Macaca fascicularis: one gene and its partners. The protein of the gene in region 1 purifies or fractionates together with the protein of each later gene. This does not show direct contact. Links are inferred from orthologs where the notes say so. Each region holds a gene or a part of one and is shown on either strand. Other genes may lie near its edges.

Evidence for each region.
Region 2: the proteins of COPB2 (region 1) and COPG1 purify together in Homo sapiens (co-immunoprecipitation; 8 studies listed by BioGRID and IntAct, counting the BioPlex papers as one, with this or other methods). This does not show direct contact. The link is inferred for Macaca fascicularis from reciprocal best matches to the Homo sapiens genes COPB2 and COPG1.
Region 3: the proteins of COPB2 (region 1) and COPZ1 fractionate together in Homo sapiens (co-fractionation; 6 studies listed by BioGRID and IntAct, with this or other methods). This does not show direct contact. The link is inferred for Macaca fascicularis from reciprocal best matches to the Homo sapiens genes COPB2 and COPZ1.

What each region holds. Positions count from the first base shown.
Region 1 is NC_088376.1:42,216,643-42,220,293, forward strand, and holds part of COPB2 (coatomer subunit beta'), read right to left. Parts: intron 3,489-3,651; coding exon 3,351-3,488; intron 1-3,350. UniProt on the Homo sapiens protein: The coatomer is a cytosolic protein complex that binds to dilysine motifs and reversibly associates with Golgi non-clathrin-coated vesicles, which further mediate biosynthetic protein transport from the ER, via the Golgi up to the trans Golgi network.
Region 2 is NC_088376.1:154,151,393-154,155,043, reverse strand, and holds part of COPG1 (coatomer subunit gamma-1), read left to right. Parts: intron 1-925; coding exon 926-1,068; intron 1,069-1,402; coding exon 1,403-1,574; intron 1,575-1,961; coding exon 1,962-2,059; intron 2,060-3,651. UniProt on the Homo sapiens protein: The coatomer is a cytosolic protein complex that binds to dilysine motifs and reversibly associates with Golgi non-clathrin-coated vesicles, which further mediate biosynthetic protein transport from the ER, via the Golgi up to the trans Golgi network.
Region 3 is NC_088385.1:61,173,313-61,177,063, reverse strand, and holds the start of COPZ1 (coatomer subunit zeta-1), read right to left. Parts: upstream 2,530-3,751; 5' UTR 2,512-2,529; coding exon 2,338-2,511; intron 1-2,337. UniProt on the Homo sapiens protein: The coatomer is a cytosolic protein complex that binds to dilysine motifs and reversibly associates with Golgi non-clathrin-coated vesicles, which further mediate biosynthetic protein transport from the ER, via the Golgi up to the trans Golgi network.

The DNA of each region.
Region 1 (3,651 bases):
TAAGTATTTGTTGAATGAATTAGCTCTTAGTTTTTCTTTTTTTCTTTTTTTTTGAGACAGTCTCACTCTGTCACCCAGGCTGAAGTGCAATACAGTGGCACAATCTTGGCTCACTGCAACCATCGCCTCCCAGGTTCAAGTGATTCTTATGCTTCAGTTACCCAAGTAGCTGGGATTACAGGTATGCGCCACCATGCCAAGCAAATTTTTGTATTTTTCGTACAGACAGGGTTTCACCATGTTGGCCAGGGTGGTTTCGACCTCCTGGCCTCAAGTGATCCACCTGTCTCAGCCTCCCAAGTGCTGGGGTTACAGGCGTGAGCCACCACACCTAGTCAGTTTTTTTGAAATTGAAACCCATAAAAGTGACTCATGAATAAGGTACAATTCTTTTGCATGCTTTAGCAATATGATTCCATACAAATGTTATTATTTATTTTTTTTTTTAAATGAAAACACAGTGACCTGTATTTTCCTCTGAGCTACTCAGAATGGAATTATACACACAGGATAAAGGTAGAAAACTAGAAGACCCTCCTAGAAAAAGCAGAGATAATGGTATACCTCTATGTTCTCCTTCTTTGATGCCTGTTCTTAAAAGTCTGAAAGCCAAACTATCATTTTCCAATCCTTTTTTGTATCAGAGAGCAAAAAAGAAATAACTAAGAAACCAATATAATCTTACTGCTTGATTAACCATGTGCACTAAAAAAGTAATAGGGACCGGTTCATAAGAACTGTCCCACTCTGATTTTTCAAGCCAGAGTTCAAAGATTCTTTAGACAAAGGCTGAATGAGTAGGCACTTCAACTCCAACCTGCAGAATCACTACCAGCTGACTAAAATACAGACACTGAGAGTAGACAGAACATGCAATCTGTAATGCAGCAGAAAAATCCACAAAAGCTCATGAGGAGCCAACAAACTCAGGGATCTAAGCAGTAAAAATAAAGCAGCTGCAGAGCAAATAGCCAAGGCTCAGCGCCATGTTAGGGGCTATGACTGATGCAAATGAAGAGTAAGAAAAGCTACACATGCGATACATACAAATGTTCAATGTAGATTAGGAAAGTATAACTAATGACTAATACTTATATGGTACTTAGGTTTCATATACAATTTTATCTAATTTTATCTTTTTGACAATCCTGTGACATAGGGAAGGCAATAATATCATCTTTACTTTAGATAAATAAAGAGGGTCAGCATAGTTAAAAGGCTAACCTATATAATTTAATCAGCAAGTTGGCTTCAAATCCTAAAATACTATGTTTTTTAAACCACTGCATGTACCACCTCAAAGAATATATAGTATCTCCTTATTTGAAATTCAAGTGCATTTAAAACCCTTTTTACTTCCAAAAACCTTTTTGGCTCTCTCAAGAATTTGCTCTCAACACAGGAGTGGTAAATACTGTTGGTGATATAAACACAGGGAAAAAACAGGGAGAACCAAAGACAGATCAATCATTCAACAAAGACTTACTATCTACTAGGAGCCTGACAGTGTATCAGGTAGTGCCTCATGCACTGGACCAACAGTGGGAAATAAGATGAGGGTAATCCTTGTCCTCATAGAACCTCCATTCTTGGAGGAAAGAAGGAAATTAAGCACGAAATTACCAATGAGATGAATTATGAAAGGGGAAGCAGATGGTCCTGTCATAGGGCAGAAAAAGGTACAGAAGAAAAAAAGGAGGCAAAGCGGAAATGCAGATAAAGCAAAGATATATTACAATAAAGCCTAGAGAAAGATAAGAAAAGTACGCCTGGGCTTTAGAATATAAGATGATCAAGTGACAGAGCTGAGAGATAGGTAAATGTAGTTGATAAGAGGGAATCCCTAGGAATAATCAGAGAGAGAGGACACCAACATATCTGTTAAACATAAAATCAGAAATACTTTAAACATCTCAAGAACTAAACAAAAAGGAAAAAAAAAGCAGTTATTTGCATCAAAGCAAAAAGAATTCACAAGATAAAGATCTGAAGTTGTAGAGAACAGAAATACTGAACTAGTGATAAGTGAAATGCATATTATTAATTTATTGAACAAATAATTATTGAGCACTTACTATGTGCCAGGTAATGTTACAGGCACTGAGATACAGCAGAAAACAAAATGTTAATTTGCATAAAATGTCACTGATGGACTATGGTATGGTTTGGATTTGTATCCCCACCCAAATCTCATGTTGAATTGGAGGAAGGCCCTGGTGGGAGGTGATTGGATTATGGGGGTGGATTGGAGGTGATTGAAGGTGGGGATGGATTTCCCCCTTGATGTTCTCGTGATAGTGACTTCTCATGAGATCTGATGGTTTAAAAGTGTGTGGCACTTCCCACTTCGCTCTCTCTCTCCTGCCATCATGTGAAGAAGGTGCTTGCTTCCCCTTCACCTGCTGCCAAGATTTTAAGTTTCCTGAGGCCTCCCAGTCATGCTTCCTGTTAAGCCTGTGGAACTGTGAGTCAATTAAGCCTCTTTCCTTCATAAATTACCCAGTCTCAGGTAGTTCTTTACAGCAGTGTGAGAACAGACTAATACAGGGTAAAAGTTTAGTGTACAGTCATTTCTGTTTCATTACAGTGAGTATAAAAGTGTAAAGTTGTTTTTAGGTTTACTTCTGGCTTTGGTTCCTTGATCCTATTCTGCCATTTTAAATTCCTCAAATGTGAATCTCACCTGGATTTCAAGAACTTAACTTTGGACATTAAGGATAATTACTATATAAGTAGACACAACTGTATGGCATAGTGCTAACTATAAGCTTTGTACTCTTAAATACAGTCTAGGAAGACTAGAAAATATGAGATAAACTAATTTGAAGGATATGTTATTTACTCAGGTGAAAGAGGAGTCAAGCATTTAGGCAGAGAATCTGTAAGATGCATGTATAACCAAAAGCTGACTATAAATATTTCCCTGATATAATCTATATAGCTGAGTGAAAGATTTATCTGCATATCATTACATTGGGCATTTGGGAGAAAAATAAATTTAAAAATATCATTCTTAAGATAGAATATTCACTGAATGGAAAATTAACAATTAAATACTTTAGCGAGTGATCCTATAATACCATCAGTTTTCTCAATTTCAAAAATGAGCTAATACTACCTAAGTCAGAGTTGTCATATTTAAATATTATATATAACATACCCAGGACAGTTTCTCCTACAAACTATCCCCTCATAAATGTTAGTTCCTTCATATTTAAAATACTTCGTACCAACTTGAGAAAGCGGTTTACATATAGCTTCTGGATTCTGTTACAGTATTTCTTCTCTTTCATTATAAACACAGTCTAACATAGTATTTTATTTCTAATAAAGTCCTGAAAAATTCCTACCTGTGTTTCATGATTCCAAACACATACACTGCCATTGTAAAGACTTGCCAACATCCATGGCTCTGTAGGATGCAAATCCACACTCTTAACTCGATCAGATCTAGCAGTTAGCTTTCTTTTGATATCAAGTCGCAAAGGCTAAAAAGAAACATTAAAAAAATTAAATTGCTAAGCCAAATAAAATATGTTTGAGATCTTAACTAAATACAGTGCATGAATAGGGCTACAAAACAATTCAGTTACAACTTTGCTAAGCTTTTAACACAGTTTCAAGTCTAAGCACCTATTTCTTCACTCACAC
Region 2 (3,651 bases), about 110 Mb from region 1:
CTTCAAATATCAGTATATATTGGAATAATCTGAGGAAACATATTATAAATGCAAATTCCTTGATCCTGAAACCAGAGATTCTGATGTAGTAGATTTGGGATGGAATCTGAGTTTTTAGCAAGCTCTACCGCCAACCCCTAGTAATTCTGATACAGGTGATCCATGGTCATAGTGCGAGGAATCCTGCCATAGAATAGGTGCAAGAGTGGTAGCTGTAGCCATTATAGGTGGACACCATGTGCACACATCTACCAGATGCCTCATTCACTTGGGTTATTCCCTTTAGTCTGCAAGGAATGCCAGGACCAGCCAGGGTGGGGTCCCATGGGCCTGTGCTTAAATCCAGTGCTTGAACCTGGCCATAGGGTGTAGGCATAGGTCTTAACCAGACACAGACCATTCTAAGTTGGGTTTTCTGCAACGCTCTCATTCCGAAACATCTCTTTATTGGCCATTTGTCTTAACTGACAAATATATAGGACCAGTTTGTTACTTTGTCTGATTTTGTAGCTATAGTAGTATCGATCTTATTTTCCTAATTGATCTTATTTTCCTAATTGTCACCTTCTTTTAAGAATCCTTGCTGAGCTAGGGGGTGGAAATCCTTGCTAAGCTTCTAAAACCGGGGGAATCTCCAATTAGGTCTAGGATTTTGTGGTCTCATATCAGTGTTTTGCTTCTGAGGTCTTTCATGGTACAGAGATGGGGAGAGTATTTGTTGGGGGTTGTATCACATGAGCAAAGTCAGGGAGATGAGAAAATGCATGGATATATTCAGGAAATAATGAGTAGCCAGGTGGGTAAACATATTTATCCATCTAAGGTAGGTGGAACACCTTGCGAATGGTCATGGGAATTTATTAGAAACCATCACAAGTTGGTCTGGGGATTTAGAAGCTGAGTGAATGTGGCCTGTGGATTTCAGAGCAGTTGGCGGCGGTGCCAGAGTTCCGGGGACTTGGGCCCCTCTTCAAGTCCTCGCCTGAGCCCGTGGCCCTCACTGAGTCAGAGACGGAGTATGTCATCCGCTGCACCAAACACACCTTCACCAACCACATGGTTTTTCAGGTGAGCAAGGTGGGCTGAGGCCCTGCTGGGGCATGCGCCCAGGGAGTTGTCCCAGGTCTGGCAGGTCCTGTAGGGACATGGGTCCCCACACTGTGTTGGTTGGGAGCCCAACTTGATGACAGAATCTGTCCCCAACATGCCTGTCTCACATATCTGTTGACCCAGGGCCTCCATGGCTCCTGATTATCAGCATGGAGACAGGGAGCCTGGGGCAGGGGGACTGGGATGGGAATCACCTTGGTCAACAGGAAAGAGGTGGGACCTCCTGGCTCTTCCTCTGCAGCATGGCTCAGACCTAGAGCAATGTTTAAGCTCCCCTCTCTTCCCTGTTCAGTTTGACTGCACAAACACACTCAATGACCAGACCTTGGAGAATGTCACAGTGCAGATGGAGCCCACTGAGGCCTATGAGGTGCTCTGTTATGTGCCTGCCCGGAGCCTGCCCTACAACCAGCCTGGGACCTGCTACACACTGGTGGCACTGCCCAAAGAAGACCCCACAGCTGGTGAGACCCTCTCCAGATACCACCCTATCCTTATGGGAGCTCATGGGATCAGGAGGTGGGCGACTGGGCACTAGTTGTTTGCCTTTTATTAGAGCTTCAGCTCCTTGATTTCAGTCCCAAGAAGAATAGCTGAGTCCCAAATGCTCTTCTTTAAAAAATTTTTTTAAAGAGACAGGATCTCACTAGAACTCATGACTTGACTTTCCTGTCCTACAAGGTGGCGCCCTCTGTCCAGCTTTGTAGGATTGTATGGCTTGTTGCTGCTACTAATAACATAGCAGGGGCCTAGAAAGCAGGCTGTGACCCCTGCCTGCTTGTTCCCTGCAGGAGGAGCCCGTCCCCTGCAGTCTGGGGACTTCCTAACTACCCAGTCTCTCTTCCCCACAGTGGCCTGCACATTCAGCTGCATGATGAAGTTCACTGTCAAGGACTGTGATCCCACCACTGGGGAGACCGATGACGAAGGCTATGAGGATGAGTATGTGGTAAGAGCCTGGTGTCAGGAAGCTCAGTTTTGTGCTGAGGCTGCAAAGCAACTCCCTTCAGAAACTGACAGACAGACTGGAGCTGTTTTTGACTTTTTAGCTCTTTAAAATTTTATTTTATTATTTTATTTTTTGAGATGAAGTTTCTCTCTTGTTACCCAGGCTGGAGTGCAATGGCACGATCTCGGCTCACTGCAACCTCTGCCTCCCAAGTCCAAGTGATTCTTTTTTTTTTTTTTTTTTTTTTTTTTGAGACGGAGTCTCGCTCTGTCGCCCAGGCTGGAGTGCAGTGGCCTGATCTCAGCTCACTGCAAGCTCCGCCTCCCGGGTTCACGCCATTCTCCTGCCTCAGCCTCCCGAGTAGCTGGGACCACAGGCGCCCGCCAGCTCGCCCGGCTAGTTTTTTGTATTTTTTAGTAGTGACGGGGTTTCACTGTGTTAGCCAGGATGGTCTCGATCTCCTGACCTTGTGATCCACCCGTCTCGGCCTCCCAAAGTGCTGGGATTACAGGCTTGAGCCACCGCGCCCGGCCCCAAGTGATTCTTTTGCCTCAGCCTCCCGAGTAGCTGGTATTACAGGCGCCCGCCACCATGCCTGCCTAATTTTTTGTATTTTTAGTAGAGACAGGGTTTCACCATGTTGGCTAGGCTGGTTTCGAACTCCTCGCCTCAGGTGATACACCTACCTTGGCCTCCCAAAGTGTTGGGATTACAGGCGTGAGCCACTGCGCCTGGCCTAAAATAACTTTTTAAACTTATGGAAATACATGTTCATGTGTAAAAAGAAAACTTGGGAAATACAAAAACAAAATACAAAACAAAAGTATGAACAACAGGAAAACATTACTCATAATCTTCAGAGTTACTTTTGGGGGGCAGTGGTATAATTGGAATCATTCTTATAATGTAGACCTTGCTATTTTAAAACCATAGTGTATTTTCCAGTGTCATTACAAATACTTCATAAACACAATTTTTTTAGTGGATTTAAAATACTGTTATATACTATGTCAAAACTTGATTGACCTTTCACTCCTTGAATGTTGGGCATTTGGGTTTCCATATTTTCACTATTTATAATGCTGCACTAAATATCCCTTTAGATACAAATTTTTATCTGCATTTTAGATTATTTCTTTAGGATAGATTCCTAGAAGGAGAATAATTGGGTCAAAGGGTAAGCATGATTTTAAGACATTTTGATTCCTTTTGTCAAATGCTTTCTGGATACATTTGACCTGTTTGCCGTGCTGGGCAGTCCTTTCATGCACTGGAATAGCCCTTCTAAATTCTCCTATCTTAGCTCGATGGAACTAAGTACAGGATCCTTCTGGGGTCTGACCTTGGGGCAGTGGCTCAGGGCCTTCTGAGTGCAGACCACTACGCTCAGCCTGTGGATGGGGATTGTTAGAACTCCTCCTGACTAGAGGGACAGTCATGGTGGAATACAGCTGACATTCACCATTGTGTCATCCTAGAGTCACAGTTGAGGATGGATGGACCTTCCTTAAGCTGGAAATGACCCTGAGGCAGGAGCTGCTTTAAGACCAAGTGAGCTCCTTGAGAGAGCTGGGTCTGTTTGAGCCCACCCA
Region 3 (3,751 bases), on another chromosome or scaffold:
CTTGAGGTCAGGAGTTCAAGACCAGACCAGCCTGGCAAACATGGTGAAACCGTCTCTACTGAAAATACAAAAATTAGCTGGGCATGGTGGCACGTGCCTGTAATTCCAGCTACGCGGGAGGCTGAAGCACGAGAATTGCTTGATTCTGGGAGACGGAGGTTGCAGTGAGCCAAGATAGTACCACTGCACTCCAGCCTGAGTAACACAGCCAGACTCTATCTCAAAAAAAAAAAAAGAATATTTGTTAACTGCCTGGTACAGAAAATATTTAAAACTACTCAGATTTTAAGCTTTTTACCTATATTTGACCAACTGACATAAGGAATTATCTGTCTCTTTTTTTTTTTTTTTTTTGAGACTGAGTCTGGCTCTGTGGCCCAGGCTGGAGTGCAGTGGCCGGATCTCAGCTCACTGCAAGCTCCGCCTCCCGGGTTTACGCCATTCTCCTGCCTCAGCTTCCGGAGTAGCTGGGACCACAGGCGCCCGCCACCTCGCCCGGCTAGTTTTTTGTATTTTTTAGTAGAGACGGGGTTTCACCGTGTTAGCCAGGATGGTCGGAATTATCTGTCTTTAACATGCTGAAAGAGAGGAATTAAAAACTGTTATTCTTTTATCTGACGAGGATCTGAATATGTATGCATAGGAGATCTAAAGGAAAATAAAAGACAAGCTTCTTTGGAAAGAGGCCTGGAGTTCGAGCCAATTAACGAAGGAGGCTGGGAGTTAAATTCCTACATTAACTACCTACCTACCTACCTACACACACACACACATACACACACACACACCCCTCCAAATCGCAAAATAGGGCACTTTTGAGAGAAATTATCTGGTTCAGTTCTAAATAAGGGGTAACAGGTATTTTATTTGTTAGAACAAGCATAAAGCATCATATGGACAAGAGGGCTAATACACTCCTTGTAGCGACCACAATTCTCATGTAACCAGAAAGGGAGAAATTAGCATCCTAGATCATACAATGAGAATCCCTGGCCAGGCGCGGTGGCTCACGCCTGTAATCCCAGCACTTTGGGAGGCCGAGACGGGCGGATCACGGGGTCAAGAGATCGAGACCATCCTGGCTAACACGGTGAAACCCCATCTCTACTAAAAAAAAATACAAAAAACTAGCCGGGCGAGGTGGTGGGAGCCTGTAGTCCCAGCTACTCGGGAGGCTGAGGCAGGAGAATGGCGTAAACCCGGGAGGCGGAGCTTGCAGTGAGCTGAGATCCGGCCACTGCGCTCCAGCCTGGGCGACAGAGCGAGACTCCGTCTCAAAAAAAAAAAAAAAGAAAAATACAAAAAATTAGCCAGGCATGGTGGCAGGCGCCTGTAGTCCCAGCTACTCGGGAAGCTGAGGCAGGAGAATGGCGTGAACCAGGGAGGCGGCGATTGCAATGAGCCGAGATCGCGCCACTGCACTCCAGGCTAGGCGACAGAGCGAGGCTCCGTCTCATAAATAAATAAATAAATAAAATAAAATAATTCCTGGCCAGGCGCGATGGCTCACGCCTGTAATCCCAGCACTTTGGAAGGCCGAGGCCGGCGGATCACTTGAGGTCAGGAGTTCGAAACCAGCCTGGCCAACATGGTAAAACCACGTCTCTACTAAAAATACAAAAAAAAATTAGCCGGGCATGGTGGCACGCGCCTATAGTCCCAACTATTCAAGAGACTGAGGCAGGAGAATAGCTCGAACCCGGGAGGCGGAGATTGCAGTGAGCCAAGATCGTGCCACGTGTGCACTCCAGCGTAGGCGACAGAGCAAGGCTCGGTCTCAAAAAAAAAAAAAAAAAGAATTCCTAAGGTCCAATGGGTAGAGAAAAGGAGAACAGAATAAGGAGTCTGGAAAAAATATTCCACAATCCATGCTAACTTTATCAGGTATCCCAGAACTTTGATGAAACACTGATTCTTTATCATGATAAACCTATTTAATAGGGATTAATAGGAAACCCAAGAGAAAACAGTTTCCTGAAAGAATGTGGCAGGGAATCAGCAATGGAGAGTCAAACTTGGGAAACCACCAGGAGGAGCCTGTAACGACAAAACATCTGTATTCTTTTCTCATAATATGGGGCTAGTTTGGTGGTTTTGGTAAATTAAAATCAGGATATCATCCACAATGCTAAAAATAAGGGGAAACCTGAAGAGTCCTAATCCAGTACGCTTACAGGTCTGTGTATCCTAAGGAGTCCATGTGCTACCTTTAACTTTCCATCGACTCTATGCCCTCTCCCCGGCAGGGCTTCCTACTCTAAACCAAGGCTTTAGCTCCTACACTAGGCCACACACTTATTCCAAGGGTCGGCAGAACCGTCAGTCCCCAAGAATTACCCGGAACTCTCCTTCCCCGTCTCCCACTCGGGCTGCACCCTGACTCCCGGCCCCTGTGGACAGCACAGCATCTCTGCTGCCCCTCCAGCTCCTACCAAAATCAGCGCTTCCATCTTGCCCCGCAGCTGGTGCCGACGTGGAGCCGCAAAAGTAACGCCACCGCTGATTGGCCATACGTCCCCATTAGGCCCTGCCTAGGATAAGGATCATTGGGTAAGACTTGCTCTGTTGACCAATTATTGTACTAACTTGCTTACCGGAAGCAGAGTATCCAACCAGAAGGCACAGGTGTTTGATTGTCAGTTTGAATACTCAATAAAACGCCAAAACCTCACGACTTATTAGGGCGGGAGGGTCGGTGGGGCGGGGTTGTTTCCATGGGGAACGGAGGAAGCGATTGTTAATTTTCAATTGGTAGGGCCAGGGACACGTGATATTGTCGGCCTGATTTAGCGATTTTAAACCGCACTCTCTTTAGGGGGCGCTGTGTCTCCTTAGCCTTTAACGCTGACGCTTCCTAACAGGGATCCTCCCCTAATAATCCCTATTTTCAGCGCCCCCTAGGTCCATGATCTCTGTGGCTAGCCCTTCCCTCAGGCTCGCTCGGGTCACTTTAGCATCCTCACAGAAAGTCTGCACAACCATAGAGTAGAGCCAAGAAAGGCCCAACATGTTAACTACATAAACCAAGACTGCCAGAAGATGATAGTCGCAGTAACAATCTCCCTAAGGTGGAGTTCCAGGCTTTGCTGGGCCTGAGGAACATGAGAAGTCAGAGTTTGTAAAAGCTAACTTTGGCTCAATCGTCTTTGGAGATGGAGTTGGGGGGACAAACGGGGAAAGGGATTAGAATAAGGGAGGGTTATAGGGAGTAAGGTCTGGGGTTTTCCAATAGAAACAAGCCGTTGTGGCTGGGCGCGGTGGCTCAAGCCTGTAATCTCAGCACTTTGGGAGGCCGAGGTGAGCAAATCATCGGAGGTCGGGAGTTCGAGACCAACCTGACCAACATGGAGAAACCCCGTATCTACTAAAAAAAAAAAAATACAAAATTAGCCGGGCGTGGTAGAGCATGCCTATAATCCCAGCTACTCGGGAGGCTGAGCCAGGAAACTCTCTTGAACCCAGGAGGCCGAGGTTGCGGTGAGCCAAGATCACGTCATTGCACTCCAGCCTGGGCAACAAGAGCAAAACTCCATCTCAAAAAAAAAAAAAAAAAAAAGAAAGAAAAAGAAAAGGAAAGAAACGAGCCGTTGCAAAATGAGAAAAGAGAAGTTTACTGAATGCAACGATTTCACAATAGGGAATGGTTTTGATGAAGCTTGGCTTTCCCCTATCTCTTGGTTTCCTGATCCCTGACTCCTCTTAGGGCAGGGATACCTATTGCCTTAATTATCCCTCAGGGATTTTTTTCCCT